2 linked regions of the Ovis aries genome follow. The protein of the gene in region 1 purifies or fractionates together with the protein of each later gene. This does not show direct contact. Links are inferred from orthologs where the notes say so. Each region holds a gene or a part of one and is shown in the gene's direction. Other genes may lie near its edges. The genes, in order: TWF1 and CAPZB.

Evidence for each region.
Region 2: the proteins of TWF1 (region 1) and CAPZB purify together in Homo sapiens (affinity purification with mass spectrometry; 3 studies listed by BioGRID and IntAct, with this or other methods). This does not show direct contact. The link is inferred for Ovis aries from reciprocal best matches to the Homo sapiens genes TWF1 and CAPZB.

What each region holds. Positions count from the first base shown.
Region 1 is NC_056056.1:142,935,036-142,941,819, forward strand, and holds the start of TWF1 (twinfilin-1), read left to right. Parts: upstream 1-2,891; 5' UTR 2,892-2,929; coding exon 2,930-2,954; intron 2,955-4,772; coding exon 4,773-4,850; intron 4,851-6,784. UniProt on the Homo sapiens protein: Actin-binding protein involved in motile and morphological processes. Inhibits actin polymerization, likely by sequestering G-actin. By capping the barbed ends of filaments, it also regulates motility.
Region 2 is NC_056055.1:246,875,660-246,882,192, forward strand, and holds the start of CAPZB (F-actin-capping protein subunit beta), read left to right. Parts: upstream 1-2,500; 5' UTR 2,501-6,533. UniProt on the Homo sapiens protein: F-actin-capping proteins bind in a Ca(2+)-independent manner to the fast growing ends of actin filaments (barbed end) thereby blocking the exchange of subunits at these ends.

The sequences.
Region 1 (6,784 bases):
TGTCTACTTTGTGCTAATTTGTTAATTAGTAGCTATAGGAAACTGATAAAAATATCTGAGAATAATACGATTGGTTTTGCTAACAAGAAGGAAGACATGATGGATGAATGGATAAACAAAACATAGTATAATACACACACTAAAATATTGTCTAGCCTTTAAAAGGAAGGAATTCTACATGCTACACGTGGATGAAACTTGAGGACAGTTTGGTAAGTGAAATAAGCCAATCGCAAAAAGACAGCTACTGTATGAGTCCAATTATATGAGGTACTAAGAATAGTCAAACTCATAGAGACAGACATAGAATGATATTAGCCAGGGCCTAGAGGTTGAGTTGGAATGGAAAGTTATTTAATGTTGATATTAAGTTTTAATTTTGCAACAGGCAAAGAATTTTGGTGATTGGTTGCATAACAGGCGATTGTATTTAACATGACTGAATCGAACATTTAAAAATCGTTAAGATGGTAAATTTTATGTGTATTTTATCACGATTTTTTAAAAAAGATAAGGTGAGAAGTCATGTAATTGGTATCACATTAAAGATGCAAGCAAGAGAGATTAACCAAACAAACAAGATTTCTATCATAATCTAGTCTCTTAAATAGGTAAAATACAAGAACCACTAGCACTCTACATACTCAATAAACCGTTTTTCTAAAGTTAGTACAATAACCTAACCTGAAATGAACATCAGACATAACAAATTATGAAATTTAAGTGTACTGTCAATATTGACCAGAAACATTTTCATAAAACAACATCCAATGAAGGCATCAAGAATCCATTTGCTAAGGAAATTATCTGACTACATGTAGAAATGCTGATGGACAGTTAAAAAAACAAAACATTTTGGCCACGCTGTTCACATCTTAACAAACATCTTCCCTCCTCAGATTTCCTGTTTTGCTAGAGGAATTTTGTTGTTTCATAAACAATGCAGACAAGTCCCTTGCAGTTTTAACTCAAACTACTGTACTGGCAGAAAAAAAAGCATTATCTGGCAGATGCTGTGGTGGTCTTATCCAACCTACCTGGACTTTCCTCCTCTTCAGGGCTGAATATACAGGGATCTTTTCTAAGGATCAACATGGGAAAATTAATTTTTCTCATCTGTACATTTGAGTAATGTCAACCTCCTTAAGCAATTTTCCCTACTCACCAGAACATGAGTCAGTCAACAAATTGCAGAGGCACTCTCTGTGCTCAACAATGCTGTGAAAACTGGTAAATCAGGGTGAACTGTCGTGTCAGGAAGAATTTGGTTAGAATGGAACTCCTCCTTACGTCTCTTAAATCCAAACAAGTTATAAAGCTCAGATTAAATTTTGGTTATTCCAAAATATGAAGATGTGTTTGAGAAATAGAGCCTAAAAAACAAGGAACAGAAAACAGCAATCTTTTTTTTTTTTTTTGCTGTGAACCCCATTAAGAAAAGCAATTACCTACCTGCTAATTAAAAATATGTCACATTTCAAAAGTGATTTTGTTAACTTGTCCTTAAATTATTGGTCTGTACAAAGTATTTGTTGATAATCAGATTGTACATTTTTATACTTGTCAGTTCAAGGCCCTAAAAACAAAACACCAAGCTTTCTACCTAGAAAATTATAATCCAGGAGTTCTAGAAAAGTAGTACAAAAATAACTACCAAGATTATCCTTAGAGGGATTTCCCTGGTGGTTCAATGGAGAAGAACCTGCCTGCCAATGCTGGTGAAAGGGGTTCGATCCCTGTCCAGGAAGGTTCTGCATACTGTGGGCAACTATAGCCTGCACAGCACATCTACTGAGCTCACACTCTAGAGCCCACGAGCCACAACTACTGGAGCCTGAGCACCCTAGAGCACGCATGCTGCAACTACTGAAGCCCATGCGCCTTAAAGCCTGTGCTTCGCAGCAAGAGAAGCCACCACAATGAGAAGGCTGTGCACCCCAACTAAGCTACTCGTAGGGTCCCCCCCAACACACACACACAGTTAGAGAAAGCCCATGGGCAGCAACAAAGACCCAGTGCAGCCAGAAATTTAGACAATAAATAAATTATCCTTAGAAATGGAAACACATGCTCATAAAAGCACAGAATGGAAAATAGTTTTTAATAATATGCTACAACTTTATCCTCACAAATGAATCTTGAATAATTACCTGATTTAAGACTAAAGGACCAATAGAAAGCAGAGCAGCGTTAGTTTGGAATGATGGAACTGACCACAGAGGAGTACTCAAATCAGCTAATTTTACTTTCAGTGGCTGTTTCTTTTTGGAATGAGGAGAAAGGAAAACCTTGTCTCTAAATGGGCCCAACTAAAGAAAGAAAAGGTTTAAGTCTGAAATTAATTTAAAAGCCTTTCAAATTTTGATGGGAAACTGCCTATCCTTTTTAAAAAATCGGGAGGAGCGGGACCCTTTACATTAAATTGTACACACAGCAGAAGAGTAAACCAAGAAGGATATCTTGCACATCTTTTTAAAGCTGAAAACTTGTGTTCAGTAAAATGTTCGTTTCCGTTTTTGAGCATCCTTTTGCTGAACCAGTGAAAGGCGTTGGCAGGGCAGACCCCAGAAGGGAAAGCTATCTTGCCAGCCCTGTGGTGCTTCACGGTGGTGGAGCCGGAGAAGCGGCGGCAAACACCGGGGACAGTGACCCTAGGCAGAAAGCTGGAGTAGCTGGAGTTGAGGGCCGAAGGTGTGGACCTGCAGTCCCGCAGCTGGGAGGCAGTCCCGCAGCTGGGAGACAGTCCGGGTGACCAGAGGCGGCGGGAGCGCTGGGGGCGCGCGAGGACGCCGGGGGCCTAGCGGGGCGGGGCGGCGGTGGGTCGCAGGCCGATGACGCGCCGGGGCCGGCGGAGGAGCGGCCACTTCCTGGAGCCGCCGGGGCCGCTCGCTGCACTCAGCGCTGGAGCCGGGAGCTCGCGGCTGCCGCCATGTCCCACCAGACCGGCATCCAAGGTAACGGCGCCGGCGCTGCCCTTGGGGAAGGGGCTCCCCGGAGGCCCCGGGCAGGCCGGGCGGGGCCGGAGTCGGGCCCGAAGCACTGGGAATGTGTGTCGGGGCGAGCCGGGCCTCTGAGTCTCTCTGCGCTCCCGTGTCCCGGGCGCTCTCGGCCTGCCTCCCTCCCTTCCCGGGCCCGGCCGCCGCCACGTTGCGGACGGACCCGAAATTCGCCGGAGCGAAGGAAGTGGGTCCGGCGGCGGCCGGGGTGAAGGGGGCGTGCCTGCAGCCGCAGCCGACCTTAACCCAACTTTAACCGGTTGGGAAGACTTGGAGACGTGAAGGCGATCGGGGTCCTTTTATTGTCAAGAGACAGGCGAATTTTCTTTTTCACGGTCCAGAAGAGTTGTTATATTATTTGAATTATAAAAAGAAAGATGCGGAATCTTTTCCATTTCTACTAAGAATGCTTCCCAAACTCTTCCGCGCTTTCTTCCAAAATGGGAACATCAGCACCGTTGTATGTATCCTAAGTAGGAGGCGTCTTGGTCGTTCTTAGGTACTCCACGGGGAACTGAAAAGTCTGATCTGTGTGGCATCGTATAATTATCCCATTCAGGCAGTTGAATGTGCAATTTTAATTGACCTGTGTTATTTCCTGGTTTGCGAATGGGCAGTCTGAAAGCTCTCACCTCATCAGAATCAAATAATATGTCCCGGGGTTACTCGCGATCACTTAACGAGTTCTAGTATAAACACAAGATCTTCCTGTTAATAGACAACGAATCTTTTCCCCAGATGAACATCTAATTGTGTTTTGTTCATAAGTCTTTGACACCACCCCATACCTCCTCCTGCACACACAAAGAAAAGCAAAATAGTCTCGAATCTGAAAGCACTCTTTTGTTTGCGTTAGTTTTGATGCATGGATATCTAATTATTGACTTTGATGCTTGAGTCTAATAACAAGCACTATTAAAAGTGGTTCTTGCTGTCAATATACACCCCAAGAACAAAATCAGAACGAAATTGAAGTTTTCATAGCGCAAGGGGTAGGTTATTAAGTATACATTTGCTCAGTGAGATTACTCCAGCTTTTTGAGAAATACTAGTCAGAAAAGTGTGACCAGAAGTATAAACTTGAAGGAATTTTATTGACTTCAGTCAGGATAGGGCATTTGACGTTTATTGTCATCTTTAAATATGAAAATGTATAAAATGAATTGATGAAGAGAGTGTTTTTATTTATCGTAAACTTGAAATTAGACCAGAAGAGAATGAAAGCAGATTCTCAGCATTTTCAAAATCAGTAAAGGTATTTCTCAGATGTGTAATTTGTTCATTATTGGGTTTGAGAAACTTTAATATATTCATTCCCAATTCTAATGTAGCTAGGACAGGTTAGAATTAATATACTTTTAAAACATACTTATGTCTCTTAGCTGTGTATGGGGCTTCCCTGGTGGCTCAGTGGTAAAGAACCGACCTGCCAGTGCCGGAGATGCAGGTTTGATCCCTGGTTGGGAAAGATTCCCTGGAGAAGGGAATGGCAACCCGCTCTGGTATGGTGCCTGGCGGGCTACGGTACAGGGAATCACAGAAGAGTTGAACATGCATGACTTAGCAACTGAACAACAACAACAGCAAAAGCCGTTTTCAGTGTCTGGTATACCTTTTAAGTTTTATAATTTAAATGACTTTTAATAAGAAAATATTGCATACTCAAGATTTTTTCTTTGTATTATATTTCATGTTTTCCTTATTCAATTGCATTGTTATTGTAGCATTAGAAAGTATTAATGCATAAATATTACTTTTCTGTATCTTTTTGCACAGCAAGTGAAGACGTTAAAGATATCTTTGCCAGAGCAAGAAATGGAAAATACAGACTTCTGAAGATATCTATTGAAAATGGTTAGTTAAACATTTTTTGTTCTTGAATTACTGGGTGTTATGTAAAGCTAAGTCATTGTCAGTGATTTGGACTATTAATAAATGTGAAGCCGGTTGAAAGCTTGCCTTTAGTTAACCTGTATCCTCTATATTTTGGGCATTTCCTAAAGGCCCTTGCTTACCTTCTGAATTCTGTAGTTGACTATCAGGGAAACAAAAAGATGTTGGTTTTGGTGTGACATCTTTCTCTTTCACTTTTTTGAGTCTCAGTTTCTGTAATGCAATCTGTATCTAATGTCAGTGCTTGCATCTCTGGAATGAAAATCAGTAACAGGCGATTATCTGAAAAATAAACAGTTATTTGTGAATTATTTTTCAATAAAGTTAGTTTGAAGTAGAAGGAAAGGGTTTTAAACTGCCTGTTTTCTCAACTTGATTGTAATGTTTGCTGAGAAATGATTCCCTTTTCTTGTTATGGGAAACAGTTCTGAGAATATAATAAACTGTAAATTGAGCCTTTCAAAATAAAGCTGAAAGCAGGGAAATTAATTGGGTGGGAGAGTCTTTTAATTTGGCTGGTTTGAGTGTGAATAATTAAATTATAATTACTTAATCTCAAATGAATATGTTAAAACATCCCATTGGCCTAATTTCTTAATTACCTTGAAATATTTTGCTTTGGAAAAATATCTTGTTCTTTCATAAACTGGAAGTAAATCTAATTTGGTTTCCAGTTTCTCTTATATGTTAAAAATACTAAAATAATTTGAAAAATATGCAGTTCTACATATGTTAACACACTCAATGAGAATAAACATATACTGTAAAGTAGCCTGTTTTAGAACTATTGAACTAAAATTTTAAGTGTTATCACTTTCTAATTGACTTAGTTAGGTAAGTAAAAGGGAAAAGTTGGTATAACTCACATCTCTACAACAGAAAAATCACTATTTTGTCTGTCACTTATCCTGTTTTTTGTTTTAAGAAAAAATTTTAAATAAGGAAATTATGAAGAATAAATGACAAATACTTCCATCCCTTCTTAAATTAATAACTGCGAACATTTTTTCAATTTGCTTCAAACCTTTGTAATTTGATGTTTAAACAACTGTACTTTCCAACCTTCTCCTGAGGAAACTATATTAGGAACTTTTTCTGCATGTGCAATCCCTAAATAACATGTAGTGCTGTTTTTGAGTTTTTAAGTTCATATGAACTGATGTCTTTTTCTGCACCATTCCTTTTTCTGTAAATATTTTTATAATTAGTTTTGATAGAGGTGAGGTGAGGTGAGGTGAGCTGAGGTGAGGTGAAGTCGCTCAGTCGTGTCCGACTCTCTGCGATCCCATGGACTGTAACGTATTAGGCTTCTCCGTCCATGGGATTCTCCAGGCAAGAATACTGGAGTGGATTGCCATTTCCTTCTCCAGGGGATCTTCCCGACCCAGACGCTTTAACCTCTGAGCCACCAGGGAAGCCCCTTTGATAGAGGCTCATTAATTCTTTTTAAATATGAATAGAATTTTATCATGACTGCCACGTATTTTATGTCCCTTCTCTTATTGATGAACATGTGGGCTATTTTCAGTTTCCACTGTTATTTTATGGTGCTGCAGTGAATACCTTTGTATATATGTGCAAGAGTTTCTCTATGCAGAATACAGTCTTGATTCTCCCAATAATGTCTCAAGGTGACTGTACCAATTTATGCTTGTGGACAGATTTTTAAATTTGTAATAGTATGGCCAAGTAGGAGCTAAACCTGTTTTTATTTAGTATTTCTTAACCGTGCAATTCAATGTTAATTTCAGAAATTCCACCTTTGAGTGGTTGGATGCTTAAATACATTTTGTTGATACTTTATAACAAACATTTGGAAAATAGACTATAACTACCGTTTCTTCAACCATCAAACTCAGCTATTTATAATCATTTTTGTATGTTCCTTTCTTGTG
Region 2 (6,533 bases), on another chromosome or scaffold:
GGTAAATTAGGGATTTGGGATTAACAGATACATACTACCATATATAAAATAGATAAACAACAAGGACCTATTGATAGCACAGGGAACTATATTCAGTATCTTATAATAACCTAAAATGGAAAAGAATCTGAAAAAGAATATATATATATATATACACATATATACCAGTATAAATACAACTGAATCACTTTGCTATGCATCTCAAACATTGTTAATGAACTTTGCTTCAACAACAAAATAATCCCCCACAATGCATGCTGATTCAGGTACTCTGTTGCAAAGCGACAGTACTTCAGAGAAGACCATCTTAGAATTTTCATAACTTAACACATCGCAGAAAGATTAGTAACCAGAAGTCAGGAAAATCCTTTCAAATTCCACTACAGAATTGTGATCCTATTTATATATTTCCTTTCAGTCTTTTGCGTAGGTTTGTTTATAATTCACAGGCATGTTTATGTAGTAGACAGACATTTTCAATTATAATCTCCATGGAGATACATTTATATCATACATTTTTCATTTAGCGTAAGATTCTATATATAATATATATATAATTTTTAATGATTGAAAAATATTTTACTGGCTATAATCCCTATATATAATTCATATAGCCATCTACTGACTTGCATTTCTTTAGGATATTTTCAATTTTCTTCAGAGGGTTGCTGGGACAGATGTTCTAAGGCACATTAACTCCACCCCTCTGAATCTTTTTATTTTTGTGTAGCAGAAGGAGATTTAAATATAGACAGACCTGGATTTAAATCTCGGGCCTTCATCACTTAGTAGCTACCTAACCTCTGAGGAGATCCTTCATCCTTGAGCTTCAATTTTTTTCATCTATAAAATGGGAATAATAATATCTGCCTTTTTTGGTTGTCATCAGGTATTTGTAAATTTCCACCGACACTGTCTGGAACCAAGAAGAAGCTCATGAATTATAACACTATTATAAATATTTTAAAGTTATAACTATTTTTATGTTTCAAACTATTATCCTTATTGTTACCTTATTTATTTTTATTGTTTTGGCTGTGTGGCTTGTGGGACCTTAATTCCCGGAGCAGGGATTGAACCCGCAACCCCAGCATTGGGAGCACAGAGTCTTAACCACTGAGCTGCCAGGGACGTCCCTGTAAAATTATAATCAGTTTTAGAAAGTTGAGTTTCTAGTAGTGTTTCTAATCTGAGTACCTCTCAATTGCAAGAAATATCCTGATTTATGCTAATGAGTCTCATGGCCCATCCCACCTGATTGAACCAGAATCCCCATCAACTTAGATGCTGGGAGGCAGAGGAATCCTAAAGCTTAGAAATGGGGGCGGGGGGAACACCGAGGGAAGCGGCAGAATGGGTGGGAAGGTGAGGGCCGAGGAGGATTTGCCTTTCACCTACTAACGAACTAGGCTTCCCTGATAGCACAGCTGGTAAAAAGTCCACCTGCAACGCGGGAGACCCGGGTTCGATCGGTGGGTTGGGAAGATCCCCTGGAGAAGAGACAGGTTACCCACTCCAGGATTCTGGCCTGGAGAATTCCATGGACTGCATAGTCCACGGGGTTGCAAAGAATCGGACACGACTGAGCGACTTTCGCTTCCTAACCAACTGCACAAACTTCCCCTTTGGCTTGCTTCTCTCCACAGCTCTCCTTTTCCCACAGCGGTGGGTGGGGTGGCGCACTGAGAACGAGGAATGGCAAACGGAGGCGGAGGAGCAGAGAGGAGGGCGCGCAGGAGGCGACGCTGCCAGAGCCGGCTGCCCTGCGGCCACAGGCGAGGCGCTGTGCGCGGGGTTCTGTCCCTCTGGGGTGCTCTGGTCCTGCCTGAGCCTGTGTGAGCAAACTCCTAAGACCCTGTGAGCTGGGTTTTCCTTGTGGGTTAAAACAGGGATGATAGTAATAAAGTCCACATGAAATTGAGAAGCTCCAGTAATAAAGAAACCGCAGTGCTCAGCCTTCAAGCGTGAAGCGCCAGGTCCCGGGGGGTGGGGCGGGGCGGTTCACACCCATTCCCTTTTCCAGTGGACAAATGGTCCCCGAAGGCCGGCAACGTTATGTCCACTTTACAAGGAGTAAACCAGACCCCTGAGAGATGAGGGTTCGTGCTCAGCCCAGCGCACCTCCCTGCTTTGCACTCCGTAAAGCTCTGGATGGTCGTAATCTGTCGTGCTGACCCTCTGGAGTTCTTTCTTTTTTTTTTTTTGGCCATGCTGGGCAGCACGTGGGATCTTCTTTTCCCGACTGACTGAGGGAAGTTGAACCTACGCCCCCTGCTTTGAAAGCACAGAATCTTAACCACCAGACCGCCAGGGAAGTCCTGGGGCTCTTCTTAACGCGCTCCCTGGAGAGTTTTGCTGCAAAGGTCTTCTAGAGAGTTGCAGAGTACATTGAACAAACTGATTTGAAATATATATGTCGAGTGCCTACTGCGTGCTAGCCATCGTTATAGGGACTCAGCAGTGAACGCCATGGACAAATGGCCCTCAAAGAGCACTCCTTTTTGTGTGCAAGGCTGACCAAAACAGACAAGTAGGGACTTCCCGGCTGGTCTGGTGGTCGGGAGGGGGCAGGGTTCCATCCCTGTTCAGGGAGCTCCCACCAGCTCCATGGCACAGCCAAAAAAAAACCCACTCCACACAAACAAGTATATATTATGCCTTGTGATGCTAAGTTCTGGGAAGCAGAATAAAACAGGGAAGGGGGATTTTATATCCAATGGCCAGAGAAGGCTCTGTGATGACAGCTGTGTTCACCACTCAGATACTGAGGTCTACAAGAGCATCATCTCCATAAGAACAGAGCCCTGGGGTCTTTTTGGTCCCTGTAGCGCCGGTCCCCAGCAGAAGTTCGGCTTCTCAGGAGGTGCTGAATGAACATTGGTTGAACAAGTGAATAAACAAACAGCCATCATTTCAGAAACCTCCACATCAGGGTAGGCACGGGGTTTTGGATTCACGTGCCATCAGCTGACTCTTAGGGAGAACCTTTTGTGTGCCAGCCTCCACGACCACAGAACAGCCCTTTCCTCTGAAGATCTTCGCTAAGGATGAGGGTGGTGGCCGCGGTGTTTAGCCAGTAGGTCAGGACGGACTCTTTTGCAACCCCATGGACTGTAGCCCATCAGATTTCTCTGTCCATGGGATTTCCCGAGGCAAGAATACTGGAGTGGGTTCCATTTCCTTCTCCAGCGAATCTTCCAGATCCAGGGATCAAAACCCATGTCTCCTGCATTGGCAGGCAGGTTCTTTACCCGCTGAGCCCCGACGGAAGCCCCCCAAATACGAGTACATGCATGCTAAGTCGCTTCAGTCATGTCTGACTCTGCAACTCCATCATAACCCACCAGGCTCCTCTGTCCATGGGGATTCTCCTGGCAAGAACACTGGAGTGGGTTGCCATTTCCTTCTCCAGGGGGATCTTCCCGACCCAGGAATTGAACCCAGGTCTCTTAAGTCTCCTGCATTGGCAGGCGGGTTCTTTACCAATAGTGACACCACCTCGCAATCTAACAGCTGAGAAGAGAGCAAAGAGAACAAGGGAAGAACAAGGGGTTAAGTGCAAAGAGTAAGAGTTTCAGGGTCAGGAAGGAGTTCAGCAAGTGTATTGCCTGACTTTTTTCTTTTTTTTTTTTGATGCAAAAATAGCTAGTTCTGCTTTTTGGACTGAGGCTCGCTGAGTCAGGGGTTCAAAGAGAAGACCATGAGGGTGGGAGTGGCCGATGTCATCCACAGCAGATGGTGATGCCCCAGAGACAGGCTGTGTCCTCCACCCCCTCTGGCCCAGGAATCAAGGTCGGGGCAGACAGCTAAGCTCAGCTCCCTGGGGACCCCCTCTCTGCCTCTCTACCGGGCCAGCCCATCCCGAGAACATCACCCTTGTTCCACCCTTGGACTCCACATCAGGCTCAGGAGAGTCTCAGAGGCCAGGGGTGTGAGAGGAATCGTTCCAGCATCTGTTATGAACCGTTATTTCCATTCCTTTGGCCGAGTTTTCTCCCGAGCCCTGAAGGCACTAGGTCAGCGCTGCTTTCGGCCCAAATGTCTGATGTCCCAGGCCTTCCTTCAGCCTCACAAAAGAAGGGGATGATTATTAAAAGAACAGACGTTGCATTCCATATTTACCCCAGATGACACTGCCTTGATCCCTAAAATAACTCCAGACCTCCTGGATGGAACTTGCTCGTTCTTTTTCATCTTGCTCTTATGCAACTGTTTATGGAGAACATCACCATAGTGATATCAGAGCGGGTCAAGTGAAACGCCAACCCCTTGGGTGGTTATTGGTTTCCCTTTGTAACTTGAAACATGACTTTTTCACCCCAGATCTACTCTTTCATTTCTTCTAAGCACTTCAGTTCTCCGCTCCAAGTCAACAGCAGTACTTTCTGACAGATTCCCAGCAGTTAAAACCACAGAGGTGGTCCACACTGGGGTGGGCGATGGAAGTACTTGGGCTGAGTTTCCAAACTGGAAACTATATTTACCAGAAATCTTTCCTTCAGATAAAACTCGGGTCAAAGTCTCAGAGTGCTGAAAGAGGCACTAAATAAACGGAAAGTCTAAAGAACCTTCAGTGCTTGCTCCAAGGAACAAGACTACAGCGTTCAACAAATAAACACAGCTGGCGCGGGGACAGCCTTTAGCAAATACTTATCTTCTTGATTATTTATTTTTTTTCATAATCATCATCTTGGCCAACAGCCCTTATTATAGCATTCTCATACGCTGTTGGTGGGAGTGTGAATTTAGAAGACTTTTCTAATAGAAAACTTGGCAATGGGTAGGAAAAGCCTTGACAGGGTGCTCTTTCTGTGAAGCAAATGTCTATTCATGGGTTCTGAGAAAATCATTAGGAATGTGAGCAGAGAAATTCATACAAAGGTGTTCATTGCTAATAGTGGTGGAAGAATGGAAAAAATCAAACGATACAACACGAGGGGATTGCTTTAAAAGAATCACTATTTATCCATACGATAGATACTAAGCCAGAATTACAAATCACACTACAGGAGACTCTTTAATAACGTGTAATACATTCACGATGTGTTCTCAGATAGGAAAAAAGCAGGTAACAAAAATGTGCATGCAATATGATCCCATTTTTGCGAAACATGTATGCACATGGAAGGGAAAAAGGGTAGAAAGATAGGTTCTAAAAAGATGAGCCGTGATTATTCCTTGGGTAATTTTCTGGTTTGGGTGTTGTATCTATAATTTTTACAATAAGCATGTAATTCTGTAGTCAGATGTTTAAAAAGCTATTTTAAAGAAGAATAAGCTGCCATGCCTTTTAAAATCACCTCTGATGGACTTTATGGGCAGAAACAGACTCTTAGTCTAAGAACGTCCTTGTATAAATCTCATAAGATAGAAAGTGCTCAACCATCTCTTGTTGTGGTTGAAGATAATGAACTGTACGGTACCTGGGGCCAATAAATATTAAGCAACTATGGGTTTTCCGCCTATTTAGAGTTTACCATCAGAGATGTACAAGGCTGGGTCTTCCCTGGTGGTCCAGGGGCTAAGATTCCACACTCCCGATGCAGGAGGCCTTGGTTCAATCCCTGGTCAGGGAACTAAATCTCATACGCTGCAACTAAAGATCCTGCACGCCCCAACAAAGATCAAAGATCCTGCGTGCCACAACCAAGACCCAGTACAGCCAAACACATAAATATTTAAAAAGTATATACAAGGCTGGCATAACCACATATAAAACATACGATCAATGTAACAGGGCCGGCAAGTATGTTTTCAAAATACCATGAATCATTTCATATTCAGTAACAACAGTGAGGACTGTTGGGGGCCAGAGAAGGGATCGTGCATCAGATCAAATGGCACACGTGCCGCCAGCTTATTGCCTATCTTATCTAAATCTCATGACAATTGTATGTGGCATGTATCCTATGGACTTCCCGGGGGGCTCAGTGGTAAAGAATTTGCCTGCCAGTGCAGGAGACTCAGAAGACTTGGGGTCAATAAGATGCCCTAGAGTAGGAAGTGGTAACCCATGCCAGTATTCTTGCCTGAAGACTTCCATGGACTAGGAGCCTGGGGTTGCAAAGAGTCAGACACGACTGAGCATGCACGCCAAGCCCAATAACAACAGCACAAGGCATCACATACTCATTTTCCAGAAGTGGAAACCAGGATGTGGAGGTTAGGTCACCTTCTCTCTCACCACTGCAGGGAGAAAGAAGATGCAATTATTCAACAAGAAGAGGTGTGGAGCCCAGTTTATGACGGAAATGGTTGAGATAGGAAGGGAGGGTCAGAAGGAGAAGGAAGGGTCAGGTACCTCTATGGATGGTCCCCAAAATCTTTTACCAGACTGCTAAACATTTAGGTTGATCCTGCAGAAAATAATAATTTTAGTTGCCCTCCTCTGAGTACCTGGGGATGATGTTGATATAAAAATGCGGATCACAGGGTGTCATTAAAGCCAACCTCACTGGTTTGTGGAAAGTGGTAGATATGCTATAGGAATATGTAGCACAACTGTGCTGCGGAGCAAATTACACAGAAGCCTA